3 linked regions of the Notamacropus eugenii genome follow. The protein of the gene in region 2 binds, or shares a complex with, the protein of the main gene of each other region. Links are inferred from orthologs where the notes say so. Each region holds a gene or a part of one and is shown on either strand. Other genes may lie near its edges. The genes, in order: CNOT6, CNOT11 and CNOT6L.

The links.
Region 1: CNOT11 (region 2) and CNOT6 share a complex: the UniProt entries of both Homo sapiens proteins name them as parts of the CCR4-NOT complex. The link is inferred for Notamacropus eugenii from reciprocal best matches to the Homo sapiens genes CNOT11 and CNOT6.
Region 3: CNOT11 (region 2) and CNOT6L share a complex: the UniProt entries of both Homo sapiens proteins name them as parts of the CCR4-NOT complex. The link is inferred for Notamacropus eugenii from reciprocal best matches to the Homo sapiens genes CNOT11 and CNOT6L.

What each region holds. Positions count from the first base shown.
Region 1 is NC_092872.1:415,725,471-415,733,719, forward strand, and holds the start of CNOT6 (CCR4-NOT transcription complex subunit 6), read right to left. Parts: upstream 3,463-8,249; 5' UTR 3,340-3,462; intron 1-3,339. UniProt on the Homo sapiens protein: Poly(A) nuclease with 3'-5' RNase activity.
Region 2 is NC_092877.1:174,373,875-174,381,360, reverse strand, and holds the start of CNOT11 (CCR4-NOT transcription complex subunit 11), read left to right. Parts: upstream 1-4,090; 5' UTR 4,091-4,128; coding exon 4,129-4,624; intron 4,625-7,486. UniProt on the Homo sapiens protein: Component of the CCR4-NOT complex which is one of the major cellular mRNA deadenylases and is linked to various cellular processes including bulk mRNA degradation, miRNA-mediated repression, translational repression during translational initiation and general transcription regulation.
Region 3 is NC_092878.1:148,694,430-148,702,453, forward strand, and holds the start of CNOT6L (CCR4-NOT transcription complex subunit 6-like), read left to right. Parts: upstream 1-4,573; 5' UTR 4,574-4,674; intron 4,675-8,024. UniProt on the Homo sapiens protein: Has 3'-5' poly(A) exoribonuclease activity for synthetic poly(A) RNA substrate.

The sequences.
Region 1 (8,249 bases), on a different chromosome or scaffold from region 2:
GCAATCCCTTTAACAGTTGAATCAAGTCATGTAGTCCTTTTTATCTATGCAACTTATGTTTATGTCTTTTCAAAACAATCATTCCTGGGCAAGGGAAGGGAGATGAAGAAAAGTGAGTGCATTCCCCTCAGTGGGAGACCTTCCCTCCAGGTCTTTTAACATTATGTAAGCACTTGTACAGTTTGAGTTATCACTCAGTCTCACTATATAACTAGCTTACTCCCTTTTCCCATCCCGGCCATCTTTCCAAATTTAAACTTCTTTTGAGGAAGAAATTAAAGAAATATGTCAGTAATAATGACTTTTCTTGACAACTAGAGGTCTGGAGCTACAACTGCAGTTTTGTGACAACTAACTCACAAGAAAATTTAAAAATATAATTACCCCAAAATCCCAAAATTATTGCCATTAAAACTAATGGTGCCAGATGGCCCCTACTAAAACGTTTTTTTTCTTTCAGTATTGCATGTAGGATATATGTATCTATAAATCTATAAGTTCATAAATACATGGAGGATACATGTATCTACAAACCTCAATGTATCAATGGCAATATAATTTTATGCATTTAAAAACTATATATATATAACAAGAAACAATGAGTTCTTCTACATTAGCAAATGATTTCAGGGTTTTTCCACTGAATAAAATTTCATTATAGAGTTGGAAGTTTTCCTAACCAACTCTGCCTGATTAACTGAACAATGGGCAGTAAGAAACTTCTGGACTTTTATAATCAGTTAATGAAGTGTTTGCACTTGACAATATAGTATATAGGATAAAATGTAATGAGATTGCATCCTAAGCAGATACACTGGGAGATATAGTCTAATATAGCTTAAGCCACATTTGGAATTGCTATCAAAATCAGTTAGACACAAATAGTCTTGTTCTTTTACAGTCACACCTCTGAGTAAAAAACGGAATTACCCAGTTGATTTACCTACCTTATCCATCACACTCAGTGACTCTGAGAGACTTTTGGCTATTTTCAGAAAATAACTTGACCCTCAAAAGGTAGAAAGAATGAATACTGAATTAGGAATCAAAAGACTAATGTGATACTAATTAATGTGACTTTAGGTAAGTCACAATATCTTTGGGCCTCAGCGCTCTCATCGGTAAAATAAGTCAGATTATATGCTTTTAGGCGTCTTAAAGCTCTTTCTAAAAAAAAGCCCAACTTTACAATTCTAACTCAATGACGAAGAATTGCTACCACTTGAGTATATTTAGAACTAGATGTAGAATTAAGAAAAACCCCAGAGATAATCTAAAAATGTTTGAAGCAACAGAATCATCACTAAAATACAGAATTTTCCAAAGTACCTCGTAAGAGACATAACTTCTGTTGTTTCTACATATAAGTTTTATTATTTTTTATAAGCTTTTAAAAACCTCAGTCATATTTCATACTTAATTTTTTTTTCACCTTTATTCCTCTGTGAATCAGAGTCCAAAGAGAAAATCTAAAAATTTCGAGAATCCAAAGTGAAAAGAAAAGTTTTACTGGGCCTATACAGCCAAGAGCAACGTAAACAAAATTAATGTAAATTTGGACATACTCATGTAACACATGATTTATTTCTCGTTGCAAATCCCAGAATGTCAAGATGACCATTTGAAATATGGTTAATTCTTCTGAATTAGTTTTCATAAGTCAGTTCTTGATTCTAGGTCCAATTTCAAAAGAGAGGGAAAGTGGATTCAAACTAGCATAATAATAGATAGCTATCTTTTAAAACTTAACTCATACTACTAGAGAGACAAATTACCCCAACACACAGAAATACAACCCAGGAGGACCTGGGTTCAAAAATTCCACCTGGAGAAACTATTTGTTGTATGACCTTGACAAGGAATTTACTTTATCTTTACTTCTCTGCAAAATAGAGATAACAGCATTTATCTCTCACATAGTTGTTATGAAAAAGGCAAGTGAAAACTTAAGTACTCTGCAAACCATACAGCACTATATGTTTCAACTACCTTATGTTCCAACTGCATGCAAAACTTGTGTTCTAAAGTCTGAATCAAAACACTGAACTTGTAGTCTGGATCTGCCACTAATTCTTTATGTGACCTTGTGGGCAGGCCACTTAAGTTTCCTCGCCTGCAAAATGAAGGGGTTTGGACTACAGATAGGATCTTTTAGGTCCTTCCAGCTTTAACCCGCTAGGGCCGATAAAAATGTTCTAAAGTTAGTATTACTGTTCCAGTTAATCACTTTTTAAAGAAATCTGCTCCCATGAATCACCGGATACAAGAATATTAATATAAAACATGCATACACCCATCTCCACATGACGCCAAAACAAATACAATGTCTACCCCTGAAAATCAAAGTTACACAGGTTATCCAAATTATTTCATCCTGTTACAAACGTAGTCTACTTAGTTTCTCCTACTAGCTGGATACAAAATTACTCACTGATTAAAAAAAAACAAAACATCCCCAAGAAGCAGGCATGTTCTTGGAGTTATCCCAAAGAACGGAATTGGAAGCAATCCTCTACTGTTGATTTCCTGCATGTGTAAGCCTCCCCGTCTCAGCCACTTACCTGCTAGTCATCTTAAGTCCCACCCACCTCCCTTCGGTTTCCCTGCGCTTCTGTCAATCAAAGCCCTAACTCTCTTTCCTGATGGTTTCTGACTCAGCCTCTGACTGCTTGCTGCCGTGGTGGCTTTTTTTGGTGCCAACTAGGCCTCAGCATCCCGACCTGCAGCTGCAGCGACACTAGTTGTTGCAGATTCTTATCACAACAATCGACAGCTCTGCTTGAACGAGCAGCTCCGCGGTGTGGGGGTTTTCCTCCCCACTTTCATGGGACAAAAAAAAAAGTTGTGGTTTTGTTGTTGTTGAAGTGTGGGTGCTTCCACGCTGATGGGGAGCGGGGGAAGAGGAAAAGAAAGAGAACTCGCCCCCGGGGCTGAGATGAATGAAAAGAAACGGAGCTCGAGGTGGGGAGGAGGAGGAATAAGAGATGGAGGTGGCAGCGAAGACATCCAGGGTGCCCAGCCTGGGGCGCGGAGCGTACGTGCGCCCCTCGGCCCGGGCTGATCAAGGATGGCAAGTTTCGGGGCAAGACAACTTCTCCCGGGCGAACAGCTGCTCCAGGAGTGGGGGGGATCCTGGGGGTCAGGAAGAGGAGCCTGAGTGCCCGGGAGCCCCGCGAGGGCAGCCCAGGCCGCCTGCCCGTCCCGGCTCCCCTCCCCCTCTGCCCCCTCCCTCCCCCCCACCGCCTGCCACCCTCCTCCTGCCCCGACCCTTCCTCAGCCTCGGCTCCTTCCCCGGCCGGCCCAAGCCGAGCTGGGGGGTCCCGGCTCCCGAGCGCTTACCTCTCGGGGTTCGCCTCCTTCCTCCGCCTCCTCCTCCTCCCTGTGAGTGCAGCGGGGTGTGACCTCTGGAACCACCATACCAGTCCCCCCAGCTGCCGCCGCGCCGCCGCCGCTGCCGCCGTCGCCGCTCCCGCCTCAGCCGCCGCCGCCTCAGCCTCAGCCTCCCGCGGCTCTTTGTTCCCTCCGAGGGCGCCGCGGCCGCCCGCCCGGAGCCCGGCCGCCGCCGCTACTGCCTCCACCCGCGCCTCCCCTCCGCCGCCGCTTCTTCTTCGCCACCGCCCTCTTCGCCTTCCCTGCCGCCGTCTCCTCCTCGTCGTCGCCGCCGCCGCCGCCGCCACCGCCGCCTCCTCCTCCTCGCCCCCCTCGTTTTCATTGAAAGCAAACAAGCATCATGGCGGCGGCCGCCGTCCCCAGCCAGCGAGAGCCCACACAGCGGTCCCGGCTCCCAACATCCCCGCCGCCCATTGGCCGCGGGCTCTGGACGCGACCATTCGGGGACCAGCTCGGGGAACAGCACAACAAACGCCTCTGCCTCCCCACTCCCCCCGCAGAGGGCTGCGGTTGAGCTGGCCTGCCCCGTTCGCTCCCTCCCCTTCTTCTCTTCTCCACCTTTTCTGGCTTTCTTTCCTTTTCTCTTTCTCTTCTCCCTTCTTCTCCCTCTCCTCCTTCTCTTCTCTCCTGTTCTGTTCTTTCCTCTCCTCTTTATCTCTCCTTTTCGTCTCCTCTTCTTTCTTATCTCTCTCCTACCACTCTTCTCTCTCCTCTCCTTATTCTATCTCCTCTCCACTCCCCTCCCCTTTTCTCTTCTCTTCTCTCTCCCTCCCTCCCTCCCTCTTCCTCCTCCTCCTCTTCCTCTTCTCTTCTCCTGCCCCCCAACCTCTTTTTTTCTCTTTTTTCTTTTATCCCCTCACACCCCCACCCTCTTGGTTTTGTCCCATCCGTACACACTCTACTCACGTGTAGCAGAAAGAAAAGAAATCAGGAAACCTGAAGCTGACACTTACTAGCCCCCTGACCTTGGGCAAGTAAATTCACCTCCCAGCCTCAGTTTCCTCCCTCTGTCCAATAGGGATAAATAATAGCTTTCACTCCCTACTTCCTGTATAGCCTGGAGCTTAGTAGGTGCTTAGTAAATGCTAAATGACTGATAGATGACTAGAGAAAATACTTTGTAAACCTGAAAGCTGCCTATAAATGTAAATTATTATTGCTTCCTTTTATCTCCCAATCCAGATTCTTCGTAGTAGGCTATTGCCCCCAGGTCATTCCCTCTGCTTCATCTAAAGGGGCCTCACAGACCTGCTTTCTGCCTGTACCCCTGCCTTGATGCTTGGGGACTCTAATGTCTGCTATTATTTCTTCACATACATGAACCTTCCACTTTATCAGCCTCTACTCCCAGAACTGTAATTTTGCTTCACCTCAGCTGCACAAAAAAGGTCATAAACTTGTTCTCCCTATCTCCCATAATTCTTCCAACTCTATTATCCAGATCTGAAATTCTTTCTTATCTCATAACTCCCTATCCTTCCATTCCTCACTGAACTTCACACCTAAAACTATTCTGTGTCATCTCCTTGCTTTCCCAGTGGACCTTTCCTTCTCTGGCCCACCTTAGCAATGTAGTGAACTACTCCTTTCCAATTTACAATCTAAGTATGCTCTTCTTCTACCCTTGTTTCTTTTTCTCTGTCCCCACTCACACCTTGACTAACCCCAATCCCCACCTTTTCTACTCCCATTCTAATGATGCTAAATAGAAGCTCCTCTATTAATTCATGTTACATAACCTCAACCCAGCCCTCACTGCTGTAAGACAATTCTTTCATTCCTCTCTGACTTACATTCTCTTATAGTCTTCACAGAGTATACTCTTCCAAATCTCTCTTTAAATCTCCTTCTACTCTGTCCTTTACCAACCACACCTTGGCTGAAGACAGTGCCTCCTACTTTACTAAGAAAATAGAGGCATCCATGGAGAACCCCCATTTTTTTCCTTTTCTAGATATAAAAACTGATCTATATCATCCCCCATTCACTGTTCCTTTGCTGCAGTATGACAAAGAGATACCTCTTCTCTCCAAAGTTGACCCTTCTCTGGGTACCCTTGGTTCTATATCCTTATTTCAATCATCCTCTTTATTTAATCTTCAGTCTATCTTTATCTTCCAGGTCCTTCCTAAGTATGCCCTGTCTTCCCTAATCCTTTAAAAGAAAAGAACAAAGAAAGAAAGAACCCCTTCACTTCAAGCTATCTATATCTCTCCTCTCTTTCATAGCTAAATTCCTAGAAATAGCTGATTGTCTCCACCACCTTCCTCCCACCCTTTTCTCAACCCTTACCAATCTGGCTTCCAACCCCACCACCATACAGAAACTGCTCTTGCCTAGGTCAGATGGCTGTTTGTCATTCTCGTCCTTCTTGACCTCTCTGCAGTTTGTTTATTTGGGTTTGGTTTTGTTTTTTACACTTCTGGCCACTTCGTGATTTTGTATACTGTCTCCTCCCTCAACTTTCATGACCCAGCTCTTTCCTAGTTCTCTTTCTCATCTAACCATTCTTTTTCATTCTTTTATGATATAGCATCTTCCATGATTGGCCCCCCTAACCATAGGTATTCCTCTAGATGCTATCCTGGGCCTTCTTATCAGTTCCCATTGATTCAGTTATCATCACAATGCAGTTGATTTTTCAAATCTATAGATAGAGCTCTAATTTCTTATTGAGCTCCAGTCCTTTATCACCAGTTGCCTGCAAGATATCTCCAAAAATATGTCCCATAAGCATCTCACATTCAACATACTTACAAAAGACCACATTAACTTCCCGCTCATACCTACATCTCTTCTAAACTTCCTCATTTTTGACAAGTGTCACCACTCTTCTAATCACCCAATTTTGCAACGTCCTAGTTTTGACTCTTCCTTTTCCCTCATCCCCTATATCCAATCAGTTGCCAAATCTAGTTGATTTTCCTCTACATTATCTCATAAGACCATCTTCCCGAAAAGGACTTAATGCATATCCTAATTCAGGTCCTCATCACCTTTCACCTAATCTAATTGGTCTTCCTACATCCAACTCTTACCTCTCTTCAATCTACTCTCCACATAGCTGCCAAACCAATCTTCCTAAATCACAGGACTGAACACATCACTAACCTACTCAAGAATCTGCAGTGGCTCCCTATTGCCTTTAAAATAAACTCCTCAGTATGATATTTAAAGCCCTTCAGATCCCACCTTTCCAGTCTTATTTTTCATTATTCTTCTTCATGTACTCTATATTCTAATCAAACCAGCCTACTTATTTCCCTGAACTCAGCACCCTATATTCTACCTCCATGGCTTGCATAGGCTGTTTCCTATTCTTGGAATGCCTTCCCTCTTTACCCCTCCTCTTAGAATCCTTAAATTCTTTCAAGGCCAAGTTCAGATGCTACCCCCTATAAGAAGGCCTATGGCAGACTAGTGACAGATCTAGGCTCAAACATTTAGTAGCTCTGTGACCCTGGGCAAGTTTCTTATCCTCTATCTCAATTTCCTCAACTGTAAAATGAGGATAATAAAAGCACCTACCTTATAGTTTTGTTGTAAGGATGGATCAAAAGGTATTATTTGGAAAGCATTTAGCACAGTGCCTGGTACTTAGTAGATACTCAATAATGGCAGGTTTCCTTCCTTTCTCACTAATGCTCACTTTCTTCAAATGATCTTGCCTTTACTTATCTGTGTACATATTGTACTCTCTCCCACTAGGATTCAAGGAAAATTTCAATTGAATGAGTTTTTATTATCCATCTGCTACTGCTGTATACTTTGCTGGAATTTTAATTTTGAAGGCAAAGGACTTTTTTCCTTTAATCTTTCTATCCCTAGTACCTAGCATCTAGTATATCACCTCTTTCTCTTCAGAATCAGAGCTGAAGTTTGGTAATCAAAGCCCTCTGCTGCTGTAGGAGAAACTGAGACTGGCAGATCTCTTGAGCACTGCAGTTCTACACTGTAGGCTAAACTAATTGGGTGTCCGAATTAAGTTTGATATTAATGTAGTAAGCTGCTAGGAGTGAAGTCCACCAGGCTTCATGTGCTCATCAGAAACTGAGCAGGTCAAGGCTCTTGAACCAATTATAATAACGGACCTGGGGTGGTCAATGGCTCCTCTTCCAGCCTGGGCAAGATAGGGAGACCTAATCTTTTTTTTAAAGCATCACAGTTCAACTCTGTGTGTGTTTAATAAATGCTTATTGAGTTAAATTGAATTTTTTTCTCTCCTTTCTTCTCTTCTCCAAGTTTCTTTATTCCTCCTTTCCCCTTTCCTCCCTTCTCCACCCTCCCCTTTTCTTCTCCTCTATTCCTCTCCTTTTTCCTTACCACTGCTCTCCCCCTTCAACTTTCTGCCTTTCTCCACTTTTGTCGTTTTCTCCCTCACTTCTGCCTCTATGAATCCCTGATTTCTTGTCTTCTCAAGCACCAAGAATTCAGTATTCATGCCCTAGGTGAGTCACGAACACCTTTTCCCTGTTCCCTGGTTTTACTGCATTGTGCTGATAAGGCAGCTTGGAGGAGGTGGATACAAGCAGGCTATTACCCTGTGGGACTGGAGGTATGGAAGGTGAGTAAGAAATGGATGATAGAATGCTTGCTTATTTTAATTCCTTGTTAATTAGATTGCAATCTACTCTAAATGAATACCCGTGCTCCTTATTATGTTGTCAAATTTGTCTAATTCTATATAGGTAAGGGTCAATTCAGCTTAGGTGCCCACCTCCAACATGATCTGCTAGGCCTCTCCTTCTGAAAGTTAGCTTGTATTTATTTTTTTATATGTTCTATGATTATGTGTGTACATGTCATCTCTCCAGTTGGAATGTAAAGTCCTAGAGGGTAAGAACTGTTTTTCTTTTGTC
Region 2 (7,486 bases):
GTCTCAGATGAGAAGTCCTCTGGTAATTTGTGCCTTCTGTCTCCTGCTGTACCTTGAACAAAGGCTGCTAGGGGCCAGCTCAACTTACCTTGGTGCCAACTTGATTTTCCCCTGCCTGAGACTTCTACCTCCTGCTTCACCTGATCTCCAGGCTTGGGTGTGAAAAGTAGCACCATTCCCTTTGGACAGGCTTTCCATCACCTGCTGCAGCATCTCCTGCCTAGCCTTTGGAGCCAAAGAGGAGGAGTAAAATGAGACCTCCTATCTTCCCTTCTAACTATGTGCCTTCCATCTTTTGCTGCTTTTGTCTCCTGCCTGATATCTAGCAGATAATTTTCAGATCTACCTATCTTTCCCCAACCTCTCTGTTGAGGAAAATTAATATTGTACTATATTATTTAATAATTAATATTTCTCTGTGATACATGCTTTTCCTCATTTGGACAGATCCCATTTCTGAAAGACAGGCCGTTTCTGAAGGGTATGATCTTGATTAAGATGAGCACTCCCAGCCCCAAAGCATCTGCTCAGTAACCAGACTGGGCAGGGCACCTTGCCTCTGTTTACCCCATAAGCACAGAAGTCAGCTTGAGCCCTTGTTTTTCCTGACCAAAGTTAGGGATGACCTGGTCTACCTGACAGAGACCCAATCAGAGATATTTGACTGAGATGACTTATGTTTTTGTAGCTAAGATTACTAGAAGCAGCTGGATCTCATAAAACAACTAGCCTCCTCTAAGTGTCAGAGAGGAGGTAATCAGCCACATCTGAAAGCCAGCCCTAGCTTCACATTAACCCTTTCACCTGAGGACTGGTCCTTCCCTTGGGGAAAGGGGGAATGAACTCATAGGAAGGTGTTGAGAACTATTTACAGCCTCTTCATTAAAATGTCCATCAGTTACAACTGCCACAATGTCAGATGTAATGAAATAGCAATATTATCAGGGGAGGGCCAAATGATGTACTGTAAGGCCAGTCAGAAGAAAGACACACCTGGGTTTAAAAAGCCCTGTCACTCTAAATGCACTCTTTTGGCACCATTGGAGGCAGACCATAAGAACCCTTTACTAATAGGTTCTGCACCCTATTAATAAATGATGTCTTGCTCAGCAAATTGCCTCAGTTTACCTTTTGTTAAATTTCAATCAAGACATTGATGACTTCCAGCCTTTTCATCTCCAATTGGCATTCAGATATCTCCAGCTTGATGTCCAGGAGACACTTTTAATTCAATATATCATTAGCTTTCCCTGTAAATACTCCCTCACCTCATAACTTTCCTGTTATTATCCAGGGCAATATCTTCTCAATCTCCTCAGTCTACTCACTATCTTTCACTCCCCACTCACTACACACCATCTGTACTCAAGGTCTATTGATTTCAGCTTTGCAACATCTCTTGAGTATATGTTCCCTTCTCTCCTCTAACGTTACCACTCCTCTGGTGCAGGCCCTCATCACTTCATTTCTGGACTACTCCAATAGCCAGCTGGAGAGTTTGCCCTCCTCAAGTCTCTCCCTATTACAATCCATCCTCCAAACAGCTATCAAAGTTATTTTCCTAAAGATCATATCTGACCTTATTAAACCCCATCCCCAATAAACTCCAGTGGCTCCCTATCACCAGAATCAAATGCAAAGTCCTCTATTTAGTATTCAAAGTTCTTTATAAGCTACTGCCTCTCTCCCCCAAATTTCCAGTCCTCTCAAGCCTTATCCTCTGCCATGTAATTTATGATCCAGGGACACCAGCCTCATTGCTCTTCCAAAAACAAGACACTCCATCTCTTGGCTTGAGGCATTTTCTCTGCCTATCTCCCATGCCTGGAATGCTCTCCCTCCTCATCTTCACCTACTGACTTCCCTGGCTTCCTTCAAGTCCCAACTAAAATCCCATCTTCCATAAGGAATCTTTCAGAAAGGCTCTTAATTCTAGTGCCTTCCCTCAATAATTTACTTCCTTGATGTTCAGGAATGGTTTGCCATTTCCTTCTCCAGCTCATTTTACAGATGAGGAAACTGAGCCAAATACGGTTAAGTGACTTTCCTAGGGTCACACAGCTAGTAAGTGTCTGAAGCTGGATTCACATTCAAATCTTCATGACTGCAGACTGGGCACTCCATCTACTGTCCCACTTACCTGCCTTCTTTTACTTCCTACTTATCCAGTGGGTGCTCTAGCCAAAGGAATGTAAATTTTGATTGCTGAAACCTTGCAAGATATCTTGGAGTTTACAGGCTAGTTTTTTTTTTCTCTTCTCTACTTATTTATTCTAAATTTAAAAAAAACACTGAGACAATTAATATTTTTTGCCCCATATCGTTTCATTTACGATTTCTTGAAATACAGCACTGGAAAGAAAAAAACTGGCTTTGATAAAACCCCTTGGGCTTCCAATTGAGCTACTTGACCATGCCTTAAACCCAAATCACTTTGGCTGTCACTGATTGGCCAACAGTAAGTCCTAGTCCAAGTCTCTCTTGGGCCTTGTTTGCAGTTTTTATAGCTCAGAGTAAATAGCAATATTTCTGTTCTGAACTGAAAACCCCGAGAGTGTTCCCCTCCCAGACTGATTTTTTTTTGAGTAGGTGAAAGCGGCTGATTTTTGGTCTCATTTCTTCACTAGCCTTAAACATTGATTGGGGGTTGCCTGGGACAGACTGAGACCTGGGAAAGACCTTAATTAAAAAAGGCCAAGATCTCCCACTACATCAGGGGCCACCGCCAGTCATTTGGCACTGGACCCAGAGGGCTCTGGAGGAGAGAATGGGGCTGGTGACTTTGCGCAGCCCTGTCTCACTTCAGTCCAACTCCCTTGCAACAAAGGACAAACCACTTATCCTGTATGGCTTATTTGCATATTTTCCCCATTAGATTGTGAGCTCCTCACAGCCAGAAGTCTTTTGCCTCTTTTTGTATCTCCAGAGCTTGGCACATAGTAGGGGCGTAATAAATGTCCTGACTTTGACAAAGCAGCTAAGCTCTCTGCGATTCAGATTCCTCATTTGTAACATGGGAATAACGCCTGCTGCACAGGGTTTGTGGGGAGGTTTACTGAGGTCACATTTCTTGCCTCCAACTCAGGGCCTCAAGAGGTCTGTGTAACGGTGTCGGCACTGAGCAGGGTGACCTCAGGCTCTCGGCGTCCTTCACTGTAAGATGGGTATAAACCCTCCCAATGCCAGTGTAGGAAGCTCCAGGATCCAGCTGTCATTAATGAAGGAGGGCCATCCGCAAGCCTCACAACAGCGTGTAAGAGTGAGCCGGTGGCAGAGTTTAGCTCCAGCTAGGACCTGGTTCTCTCAAAATTAACGCATTTTCCCCAGTTGCTAGGTGGTGCACCGCAGTCAGGAAGACTAATCTCGTAGAGTTCAGACGCTTACTGGCTGTGTAGCCCTGCTTGTCTCAGTTTCCAATAAGCTGGAGAAGAAAATAGCAAACCAAGAAAACCCCAAATGGGGTCACAGAAAGTTGGACGTGACTGAGCTGACGGAACAGTAAGACAGGAAAAAAAATGACAAATCATTCTTCCAGCCAACAGGGGCGCTCAACTGCGGCTCCACTGGCACACCCAACTGCGCAGCCGCTCTCCTCTTCCCTCGGAATGGAGGAAGTCGTTGATACCAAGGGGCCCGACTCGCCCCCGCCTCTGCCCGAGGCCCCGCCCCTGGTCCCAAACCTTCTCCATTCTTTCCTAAGTCCCACTCCTTCGCCCTCTCTTCCCAGGACCCCGCCTTTTTCTTTCTGGCCTTGCCCCATCTCCTACTTTCTCTCTTCCCAACCAACCTTATCCCCTCTGTTCCATCCCCTCACTCTGAGCACGTCCGTTCCATTACGTAATCTCCCTAGCTCCTCCTCCCCTCCGCCTCTCCGTCTCCTCGATTCCAGCCTGTCTCTCTTCTCTTCCCAGCCGTAGGAGCGATGCTTTACGACACTGTCGTCTAACGGCGGGTCTTTACGGCAGCGACCGGCGGCAGGACGGCAGCGGCCGTGGCAGCGGGAGCGGGAGTTTGGGCGTCAGTGGGGGCGGCAGTGCTGGACGGAAGCGGAGGGGGCGACGGATCCGAGCGTTTAGGCCAGGCCAGGGCCGGGGCGCGGGGCCGGAGGCGGCGGCGGCGGGGGGGTTGATGCCCGGCGGCGGGGGGAGCCCGGCGCCCTGCAGTCTCCTGGCCGCCTCGGAGCCGCGGGGGGGCGAGGAGGCAGCGGCGGCGGGGCCCGGCTCGGGCGGCCCCGGGGGCTCCTCTTGCGGCCCCGGGCTCGGCGGCGCCGGCGGCGGCCCCGGCGGCAGGATGAGTCTGACCCCGAAGGAGCTCTCCAGCCTGCTGGGCATCATCTCGGAGGAGGCCGGGGGCGGCAGCACCTTCGAGGGCCTGTCCAGCGCCTTCCATCATTACTTCAGCAAGGCGGACCACTTCCGCCTGGGCTCGGTGCTCGTGATGCTGCTGCAGCAGCCGGACCTGCTGCCCAGCGCGGCGCAGCGCCTCACGGCGCTCTACCTGCTCTGGGAGATGTACCGCACCGAGCCGCTGGCTGCCAACCCCTTCGCGGCCAGCTTCGCACACCTGCTGAACCCGGCGTCCCCGGGCCGGGGCGGCCAGGAACCGGACAGGCCGCCGCTCTCAGGTACGGAACTGCCACCCGGCCCCGCTCCGGCGCGGAGCGTGTCCTGGGGCGTTGGAGCGTCTCGGGGGCTATCTCGGCAGGTGTGCTAGTGGGCTGTGAGCCTGTCATGGCCCCCCCTTGGCTCTGTGTCCTGGGCGACTGAGCCTGTCATGGCCCCCCTTGGCTCTGTGTCCTGGGCGACTGAGCCTGTCATGGCCCCCCTTGGCTCTGTGTCCTGGGCGGCTGAGCCTGTCATGGCCTCCCCGCCCCCCACCGGTGTTCTCAGCTGGACAGTGAGGAGTTGTGCTGCCCCATCAGGGGCAAAAAAAAAAGTATGCTTCAAAAAGCATTGCTGTATAGTTTTAGGATTTGTCAGTAAGCATTTATTATGTACCTATTTATTAATTACCTATTAGTAACTATCACAGGCACTGAGGATCCCGAAATAAAATGAAGCTTTCAGGGAGCTTGTATTCGTTTGGGAAATTAACAAATGCAAATATAATTAAATATAAAACTTATACAAAGTAACTTCCAGGAGAGTAAGCACTAGCAATCAAAAGGACCAAGAAAGGCTTCTTGTAGGAAGTGGTCCTTGAATTTAGGAGAGTAGAGATTCTGAAAGAAGAGTGGAAGTGACGAGGTTGTAGATTCCATCAATAGGTGGACAGTCTGGAGGTAGAGCATCAGTCTCAGCAAGGAGGTCAGTATAGCTAGAATAAAAAGGAGAAATACGTAACATCTGGAAAGCTAGCTTGTGAAGGACTTGAGTGCCAAAGGGAGGAGTTTTTATTTTAGACTAAAAATAGTAGGGTACTAGTAATAGCTACCCCAGCTTTTTGAGCCAGGGAGTGACATTGTCAGGTCTAGATTTTAAGAATTTCACTTTAGCAGCTGTGTGGAAGTTGGAGTGGAGAAGAATAACTTTTATTTGAGTTAATATGAAACAAATTGGCTCTGCTGTAACTTTTAAGTCCCACGGAGGAATGGATAAACAGGTTAGAGGATTTCAAGAGAATTCTTTTAAAAGTGTACTTGTCCAATTGTGTGTCCTAGTGGAAATAGACCTGGACTAGGAATTAGACCAGTATTCTAATCCAAGCTTGTTGCTTATCTTTGGCACCTTTGACCAAGCTGCTTCACCACTTTGGACTTCAGTTTCCAAATAATTTCCAAAATGATTGAGACTAAGAGACCTCCAAAGTACTTTCTAACCGTAAATATTAAGACCTTAAGTTTGAATAATAAATAGTCTGCTTTTCTAGCCTTATCTCAACCAAGCTGAACTACTTTTTCCCATTCTCTTTCTTGATAGTTTTTATGTAAAGTTTTCAAATCATTTTCATTATCTGTAGTTTTAAGTCTAATCTTCATTCTAAGCATTATATGGTGAGAAGGTAGGGATCATACTCAAGTTCATCTTGTCTAAAGTAGATTACTGCATGCCATATATAAAATGAACAGCTATGTAGCAAGGATAAGGATAGATCACCTGGGGCTAGGTTCAGGTGTTTTCTTTAAGGAAAGCTGCTCAACAGAACCAGGAGAACATTATATACACAGTAATAGCCACAGTGTGTGAGGACTGTTTCCGATACACTTAACCCTTCACAGCAATGCAAGTAGAGCACATAAAAGATTGCATGCTATCTCAGGGAGGGAGGGGGAGAAAAGTTAAATCTTGTGGAAGTGATTCTTGAAAACTGAAAACAAATTGAATTTTCAAAAAAAATGTTTTTAATCCCTCAAAAAAAGGGGGGGGGGGAAACTGGTCAATATCTGGGCTTCTTATTTAAAATTTGAGGGACTTTGGCATCTATGAGATTTAGACCCTAATAGTATGAAGCAGAAATTATAGTCCACAGATGACTTTTCTGGGACTAAAAGCCCCTAGATCCAATGTAATATCCTTTTGTACAAGGAGAGATGGTAGGAGTGGTGCCTTCTCCCTTCAAGCCTATATGAATTATTGGAGGCAGTATGTTCAAGTGGAACAGGAAGCTCTAGATTCACATTCTTTCTCTGACACTTAGGAGCTGTATATCTAAATTAGTTAATCTCACTGAGCCTCAAGTTCTAAATCTGTAAAATGAGAGTGATAGTACCTGTAACTTTACAGTTTCATTGTGAGAATCAAAGATCATATACACAACAGATTTGGAAACCTTAAAATGCTTCATGCATTTTATAATAGGCACTTAATACATTTTTTTTTATTATTTGAAGGGACTGGAAACAAGTAAAACATCTTTTATATATTATATTCCTTCTTCTTCTTTCACCCCTTACCTTAGAAATTGTGACACCAGTATGGACAACTCACCTTTTGCTTTTTGGAAACTTTCATGGGCTGCCAGTGATCTGGCTAATGCTCTTGAGCTGTGGTTTATGAAATTCCAGTATTAATCTCACAATATGTAGCCTTCCTTCTTCCACTTTTTTTTTCCCCGACAGGGTACTTCAGTCAACTAGAATATCTTTTACAAGTCAATGGGTCTCTGACTTTGAAGATCATTACTGTATTGGGAAAAAGAAGAATAAATCCTGCAGGTGCCACCAAAGTAATAGCTATATTCTTAAATTCAAAAATAGAATTTTTAAAGGAGGACAAGGACTTTAAATAGTATAGAATTCCGAATAAGCCGGGACAGATGAGAACAAGAATTCATTTTTTAAAATTTTACATTGAGAACAGACTTTGATGAAGATGGTAGATTTCCATGACATCTGGCCTTAAGGATGTTCTAATCTATCCTTTATAGTACTTTCTGTATATTTTTCCTAGTACACTCCTCTAACTACATCAGCTCTTTCCACTCAAAAATTTGAGTGGCATTCTATAGCTTACCAAATAAAATTTGTCACATCCATTATTCAAAGCTC
Region 3 (8,024 bases), on a different chromosome or scaffold from region 2:
ACTAAACACAAACTAGCTACGTATAAGGACAAAGTGGAAATAATGAACAGAAGGCCCTCCTTCCCTCTCTTCTTTCCTTGGTAGCTATGAGTGAGTAAGGTTGGCTTTGAGCTGCCCCTCACAGTCAGGTGGGAGAAGGGATGCTGCCATGTATTTACCAAGGTACGGTGGTTGTGAGCACATGGCCATAGCCATTGCCATCACTTTGGATTTGTTCTTTCTGATCTGAGTTAAACAAATATCCCAAGATGGTAGTGGGCGGGAAGTGATCTGGTGACGTTGGAAAGCGCTAGAAGTTTGCAGCTACTGTGGCAGTAGTATCAACAGGTATGGCAGTGGCTGATTACAGAATTACCTGAACTGGGAGTAGTGAGACACCCCAAGGACTGAGAGATTCAGGAAAGATGACTGCTCTCAGTAGAGAGAATTGAGGGCTTTAAACTTCAGATAGGCCTAAGATAGGCCTAGATCCTGGGAGCCTGGCTCAATAACCCACCTTGCTGAAAGGAAAAGTTGACCTAAGTGGGCCTTCAGGAGGACTCCAAGAAGGGAGAAAAGGACTTACAGGGTAAGGAGTTGGGAGGTGTTCCTATATCATTTATGTTCTCTACTCATGTACCTCAATCCAGTTTTACTCTGAGGTTAAGCCCACTGACTCATGGACATTCTCAATGAGGATGAGGGTTCCCTGGACTTGGAGAGTAGGAAGTATGTTTTGTACCAACATTATCTTTGTAGACACCTTTTCTAAAAACTAACGGAGGCTACTACTGGCTGACTATTGATACAGAGCATACATGGGGGGACTCTGGAACGACTATGTAAAGAGAACAGGTAGCACTGGATTATCTTTGGAATCCAAGACAGCAATTTCCCAGCTAAGAATCTGCCATGGTAACTGTGGATTTGGGGGAGTGGCCCCAGACGGAATGCTACATTAGCCATGTAGCTAACGAGAACTGAGGAAAGTAACAAGGGAGAGAAGATACCATTTCAGAGCTAAAGAATGAAATACACAGCACATTTTCACAGCACTACAAGAACTGGTTAATTTAGTCAAGATATTTTTAAAAAATCAAACTGTTTTGGAAAAGAAATCACCAAATACATTTGTATTCATTAATATTAACCAAATGAATCTATATTTATTATTAATTATTGATTAACTAACACTAGATGCTAGGAACTAGATCTGACAGGTGGAAAGTTAGTCCCTACCATTACTCAAAGTTCCCCTGGAAAGGTGAATTCTCAGAACACTAGTTTCCCTTTGACAAACCGACTCCTCTATGAAGACTTTCCCTAAACCTCCCAGTTTCGTCACCAGCTCTGCTGTGGGTGCTAGGAGAGTGGCTGATGCCCATCAGAAGGCAAAGAGGTTAGGATCTTGTCCAGAATGGGAAAGGGGCTGATTGGGAGAGCATTCAGGGATAATGGAAAGTGTACTATTGGAAACAAGGATTGTCTATTACAGGGAGCTTGGCTGACCACACACTGGTTGAGCCATGGACCTCCTTTTGAAGACCCCTGTTCTAGAGTTCCTCTTTGTGAATGACATTATAGGGATTTCATCAAGCTCTAGAATGCTGCAGAGCATTTCCACTAAAATCCAGGATCATTTGTAAAGGATCAGAGCAAATGAATCAATTCCCCATAGTTCAGAAACCTAATAAGTTTGCCTGTGAGTAAGCATACTTTGGAGAATTTTTCAGATGAACTATGGGCGATTTTATGTATCTTCTCAGGAAAGCCTTCCTTGACTATCTTAATTGCCCCTTTAAAAATCACTTTGTAATTACTTTTAGAACATTTGAATGCCAGAAGCGGGTCCCCTGAAGGACAGACCCACAATGCAATGAATGACTTCTGAACGGCTGAGAGACCTCCAAGCCCACGACATTGCACATAGCATACATGAAGGAGATATGACTCCTGATTTGTGGAGTGACTTTGGATTGAGAAGAGAGAGAAATGGAATTTGAGACCCTATTCTCAAGGAGTTTGCCTTCTATTAAGAAAAAATGTAATGGATATTTGCATTTGCAGTTGGGATAATCAACTTGTCTTCCTCAATCTTCTCCAAGACAGCCTGTCAGTTCACAGGGTTAGGTGGGCTAGATGTTACATGGTGAATGAAAATGTTGGCAATGAAAAGACTTTATGGGGAAGAGTTTATTAACTATTGTAGTTACCACTTAGTAGTTCCTATTTTAGCTGATACAAAACAATTACTTACAATGCTTAAGAGTGAGAAGGGGTCAGAGCCTGACTTTTCTGTCCCATGACAAATGAAAAATTTGATGAGATTAAACAAAATCTGACCTGTAGCTTTCAGGTATGTGTATTTTGTCCTGTTTTTCTTTTTAAAATGAGAAGTGTGGCAATGGTTTAGAGAGAATAGGGAATTCAATTCTCCAGTTCTGAAATGATTTGTTCAGATCTGCTGTTTGCAAATCCAAACAGTGATATTTCTTATTCTTTCAAACTAGATTGTTGGGGATTGGAGGGCTAATTTTCCTGGATCAACACTAGTATCATCTGGTAGCTCCAAGAACCTAAAAGATGAGTCGTTAAGTTCAGTAATGGGGAAAAAGTGTCTGTTCCCGTCTCTGTCCTGAGGGCTTTTTCCATAACACATGCTTGAAAGAAAGCAAAATATGGAACAGTTGGACCTGAGCAATGATGGACATGATATTCCTTGAGCTCTGGTTAATGATTTGCACCTGCAAAGCATGTTTTATTAATGAAGAGAGGCAAATGCATTTTACACCTAATAATAAAGTTTAAGATTAACTGAAAGAAACACAATGAGACCAGTGTACTAAGTAACATCACAACAGTCCCTGTGCATTAACCTTCCAAAGCTGACGTCCAAAATGTGCTTAAATTCAGATCTGAATTGAATGGCAGTATTATGCCCCTAAACTGATTTACCATAATGGGGTATTGCCTAAAAGAGCTGGTCAGTCAAAAACTAAAACAATGAAAAAGAAAAAGACATCCACTCACAAACGAGTGAAAATGAATGAAAATTATTTTTATTGGGCCACTCACATCACCCAGTATGCAGCTTGTTTGTGCACAGTTGGCATGTTTTCTCTCCCTTTGGTCTGTGAGCTCTTTGAGGGCAGGGGCTGTCTGCATCCTCAGGGCTCAGAGGTGCCTGGCATGCAGTAGGTGCTCAATGAGTGCTCCTTGACTTTAAAGGGATGCTGCTTGCCTGCTGTCTCCCCTGTGAGCTCTCTGGGGGCAGGGGCTGTCTGCATCCTCAGAGCTCAGAGGTGCCTGGCATGCAGGAGGTGCTCAATAAGTGCTTCTTTAAAGGGATGCTGCTTGGCTGCTGTCTCCCCCGTGAGCTCCTTGGGGGCAGGGGCTGTCTGCATCCTCAGGGCTCAGAGGTGCCTGGCATGCAGTAGGCGCTCAATGAGTGCTTCTTGACTTTAAAGGGATGCTGCTTGCCTGCTGTCTCCCCTGTGAGCTCCTTGGGGGCAGGGGCTGTCTGCATCCTCAGGGCTCAGAGGTGCCTGGCATGCAGTAGGCGCTCAATGAGTGCTTCTTGACTTTAAAGGGATGCTGCTTGCCTGCTGTCTCCCCTGTGAGCTCCTTGGGGGCAGGGGCTGTCTGCATCCTCAGGGCTCGGAGGTGCCTGGCATGCAGTAGGCGCTCAATAAGTGCTTCTTGACTTGGTTGGGTAATCTTGGCCCTTGCAGGCGCTTTATCTCGACACTTAAGGGGATCAGAGGGCCGGGCAGGGCAGACTTTCCTGCGCTCCCGGGGGAGGGAGAGGTGGGGGGAGCTCCCACAGGTAAGACGACCCTTCCCACGGCCCATCCCAGCCGCGGCAGCATCTCTGGGACCAGCCCGATCCCGGGCCCTCACGCAGCCCGGGAGCCGTCCCCCTCCGCGGCCCTTCCAGCCGAGGCCCGCCTCGGAAGGGACTGCGGTAAACAGTTCGCAGTAAAAATAGATGGCGGGGTGATCTCAGCTCTGCCTCTCCCCCCTCCCTCCCCGGGCGCGCGTACACCCCGCAATGCTTGCAAACAACCGGAAGGTCGGCGTGGGGGGGGCGGGAGGGAGGAGGTGCGAAGAGGCTGGGCCAGGCCCCCTCTCCGCCCCTGCGCGCAGGCGCAGCCCCGCCCCCAGGCCGTGCGCAGGCGCATCCCCGCCCCCGGCCGAGCCACGGGGGCGTGCCCGGTTCCCGCCAGCCCCTCCACGTCAATCAGCCCTCCTCCCACACACGGCACCTTGTTGTGAATCTCCATCCGCAGCTCGCGCTGGGGTCGCCTCCTCTCTTCCCCCGGTCTGAGGACTCAGAACGTGGGCGGCGCGTGAGCGCGAGAAAGCACCGGACAGCGGCGGGCGCCGAGGCCTCAGCGAGCAGGCGAAGCCCCGCGCCGCCGGGCCCCGCCGAGCCGCCTCCGCGAGCCCCTGGGAGCGGGGCCGCCCCGCCGCGGCCTCCGCCTCGGCCCTCCCCACGGCCCGGCCCGGCCCGGCCCGGCCGCCCCGCGCCCCCCCCGGCCGGTGCCTGTCCCCGCCGGCGGGCTGCCTGCATGTCTTGGCTGCCCTCAGCCCCGCCGCCCCCGCCGTCCCCGCCGCCGCCGCCGCGCCGCCTCCCCCGCTTGCCCCGCCGCCGCCGCCGCTGCCGCCGCCCGGAGCCCGGCGCGCTGAATGCAGGTGAGGCGGGGGCTGGGGGCCGGGCGGGGGAGGGGAGCGGGGCGGGGGGGGCGCGGGGAGCGCGCGCGCCCGCCCTTCCGTGCCCGGCTCGGGGCCCGGCGCTCACGGCAGCCGGGGAGGAGGGCGCGAGGTACGGCGGGCTGCGGGAGCGGGGGGCGGGGGAGGGCCGGGAGGGCGGTTTGGCCCTGGGACCGGCGGGGAGCGCGCGTGGGCGTGTAATGGAGGCGGCGGCCTGCTGTCTGTTTACACCCCCCGCGTGCGTGCGTGTGGGTGCGTGTGTGGCGCGGGGGCGCAGGTAGCCAGCCTCCGGGGCGGGCCGCGGCCGTCGTGGCTGCTGCACGCGTGTCTGCGGGCCCGGGGAGCACCGCGGCCTAACCGCCCGGACGGCGCGGGGGAGCGGAAGAGCGGGACCGAAGGGGAAGCGCGCTCTGGGAAGCCCTCGGGGCTTGGTGCCCGCGGAGCCCCCGTGCCCGGCGGGGCGCGAGGGGCGGCCGAGGCCCGGGCCCCGCGGGCGCCCCGGCGGGCCCTCCGTGCGCACGGTGGTGTTTGCTCGGTTCTCGTCCAATCTCGCAGCGTGCTGAGATTAAAGTGCCCCAAGCACCGGCCTGGGTCCGAGGGGGAACGCCCGGGGTGCGTGTCACCTGCTCTGCCGCCCCTCCCTCGGGGCCGGTGGTCAGCGTCCGCTCCCGGGTCCGAGCTTTGTGGTGAAGACGCTTCCCGGCTCTCGGGGCTGTGGAGGGGCCGGGGGCTTCATGCCCAGACCTTGTGGGTGAGACCCCACTGGTGTTAGAGGTTTAGTGTGTCGTCCGGCTTACCGCACCGCAGACAGCTTTCCTCCCCAAGTAGCAGTGGCTAGTTATTGTTGGCCTGAGTCATGTTCTCTTTATTGGGGGAATAGGGAAGAAATGAAGAATTTATATATGCCTATAAAACACCTACTGTGTGCCGGGCACGGTGCCCAGCTCTGTAGAAAGCCTGACAACAACCCTTCCAATAGGTGGTGCTCTTGGCCTCATTTTACAGTTAAGGAAACAAGGAGAGGCGAAGTGACTTGCCCAGAGTCATGCAGCTCTTGTGCATCTGAGGCAGGGTTTGAATTAAGTTCTTGACAGTATTATATATCACGTTGTATGAATGCTAGTATTCGTGTCTGTCGCATACTGTGTTGAAACCTAGTATCAGTTTTAATTTATCTGGTTGTGAAGTGGTAGCAGTTTTGGGGAAAAAACCCTAGCTTGTACTGATTTAGTTGTTGTCATATTTGGATTAGCATGTATTTTTCTGTGAACTTAACTTTTTTAGAAGGTCGTCTGAAAGTCTTTAAAGTATTGTTTTAGTCTATTTTAACACCCTTTTCCAGATGAAGAAAAGTCTAATTTTAAACATTTTCTATTTCTGGACCCCCATTTATTGGTTTGCTTATTCCTTTTACTTATTTTTTGTGGAAAAATTGATTTTTAACCGGGACTCTTGAGAGTCTTTCAGGAGGTCCATGCTGTCAAAACTCTTTTCACTCTACTACTGAAGTGTTTATCAATACATATAATCCACATAAACAATAGTTCTTTGTGGAGAAGTTCCTTAATATTTAAGAAAGTAAAGAGGTCTTAAGACCAAAACATCAGAATACTGCTGCCCTTAAGGTATAGGGATGGAACCTGTGATGTCAGTGACATTGAAAACTCCCAGGTGAGGAAATTACCTCTCTCCAATGCAGAGATCTGGTACCTTATCTGCAACTTACTCTTAGACCAATAATTGTCTATAGCTCTGAGAGGTTTAATTGACTCTTGGATCACAGAGCTAGTTTATGTCAGGTTGAGCTAAATCCAGATCTTCCACTATACAATGCTGCCTGATTAAAAGTTTAAAATAACAAATAATTTATTTTTACATACCATAATGTACAAATGCATCAAGAAGAGAAATAATGTAGGTAATTGCACTATTTCACCTTCACGGTCATTGAGTCAGAAAATCCTGAAAGATTTTAGTTTTTATTGAAAATATACCATCATTCAGTTATGAGAGACAGCAGTGGCAAGAGGGCTAGTGTTGGGCCTGGAATCAGAAGACCTGAGTGCAAATGTGGCCTCAGACACTTGCTGGCTATGTGACCTTGGGGTAGGTCTCTTACGCTGTTTGCCCCAGTTTCCTCATTGTAAAATGGGGATAACAGGGTAGTTGGGAGTTGTTGCAAGGTGGCACAGTGGATACTGGGCCTGGAGTCAGGAAGACTCATTTAACTGTGTAACTGGTATGTGTGCAAGTCACTTTACCCTGTTTGCTTCAGTTTCCTCATTGATAAAATGAACTGGAGAAGGAAATGGCAAAATCACTCCAAAAGAATCCCAAATAGGGTCACAAAGATTTGGACATGGCTGAACAACTGTACAACACCAAAAGTTGTGAGATAATATTTGTAAAAAGTGATTAGCGCAGTACCTGGTAACTAAATAGATGGCGTATTCCTTTTCTCTTTCCTGCTCCTCTTTCCCTACCTCATCAGGAAAGCTAAAAGTGACTTGTCCTTTTTGGTATGTATACCATAAGGAATCGAATGAACATTAATAGTTTCTGTAAATTGTTAGAAGAGTTCGGTTGAATTAGCTGAATTTCAGGGATCTGATTGTTTAATTGAAAAGTACTTTTTTTGTTTTTGAAGGGGGAGAAGAAAGGTTATTAGTGTAGGGGGAATGTAAACAGATTATTGTGTTGGAATCACCAGTGATTTTCAAAACAAGACTAGGCCTTAGTAGCATTAACATTAATTGATATTTTTGTTAATCCAGAAAACCATTGAGGTTGCAATATACTATTTTTGCGTTCCATTTCTGACCAGCGTGCTGGAGCGGCTTTATTATAAATTGCAACAGACTTCTGTTAATCTATATAATTTTTAAAAAGTTAACTAGAGTAGATTTAGATTCTGAATTGAGAATCCTTACTCAAAACTATTAATAACAAAGAATTATAACAATCGTTAAATGAACAAAATGTTTTGATCTTAGAATTAGTTGTATGTTAGTATAAGTCATTTTTAAATAAGCTGTTTCAATTACATTCTGTAAATGCTTTTCTCCCCCTTCCATTTTTGGGTAGCACATTTCATTGTAGTTACTGTGAATCTAGAAGACAAAAATGTTTAAGTTTTGGGAAAGGGAAATTCACTAAACTTAGGATGTTAATGTGACTGAAGACTCCTGGGGCCATATAAAAAGCAACTATTTATGAGAAAAATGTCTTAAATTTTGTGATGCTAATGTGGACATCTAATACTTTTGTTAGAAATCTGTGGCCAGGTAGTGCAATAGAATGAGCACTGGACTGGTCCCTTCTGAAGCTTGCCA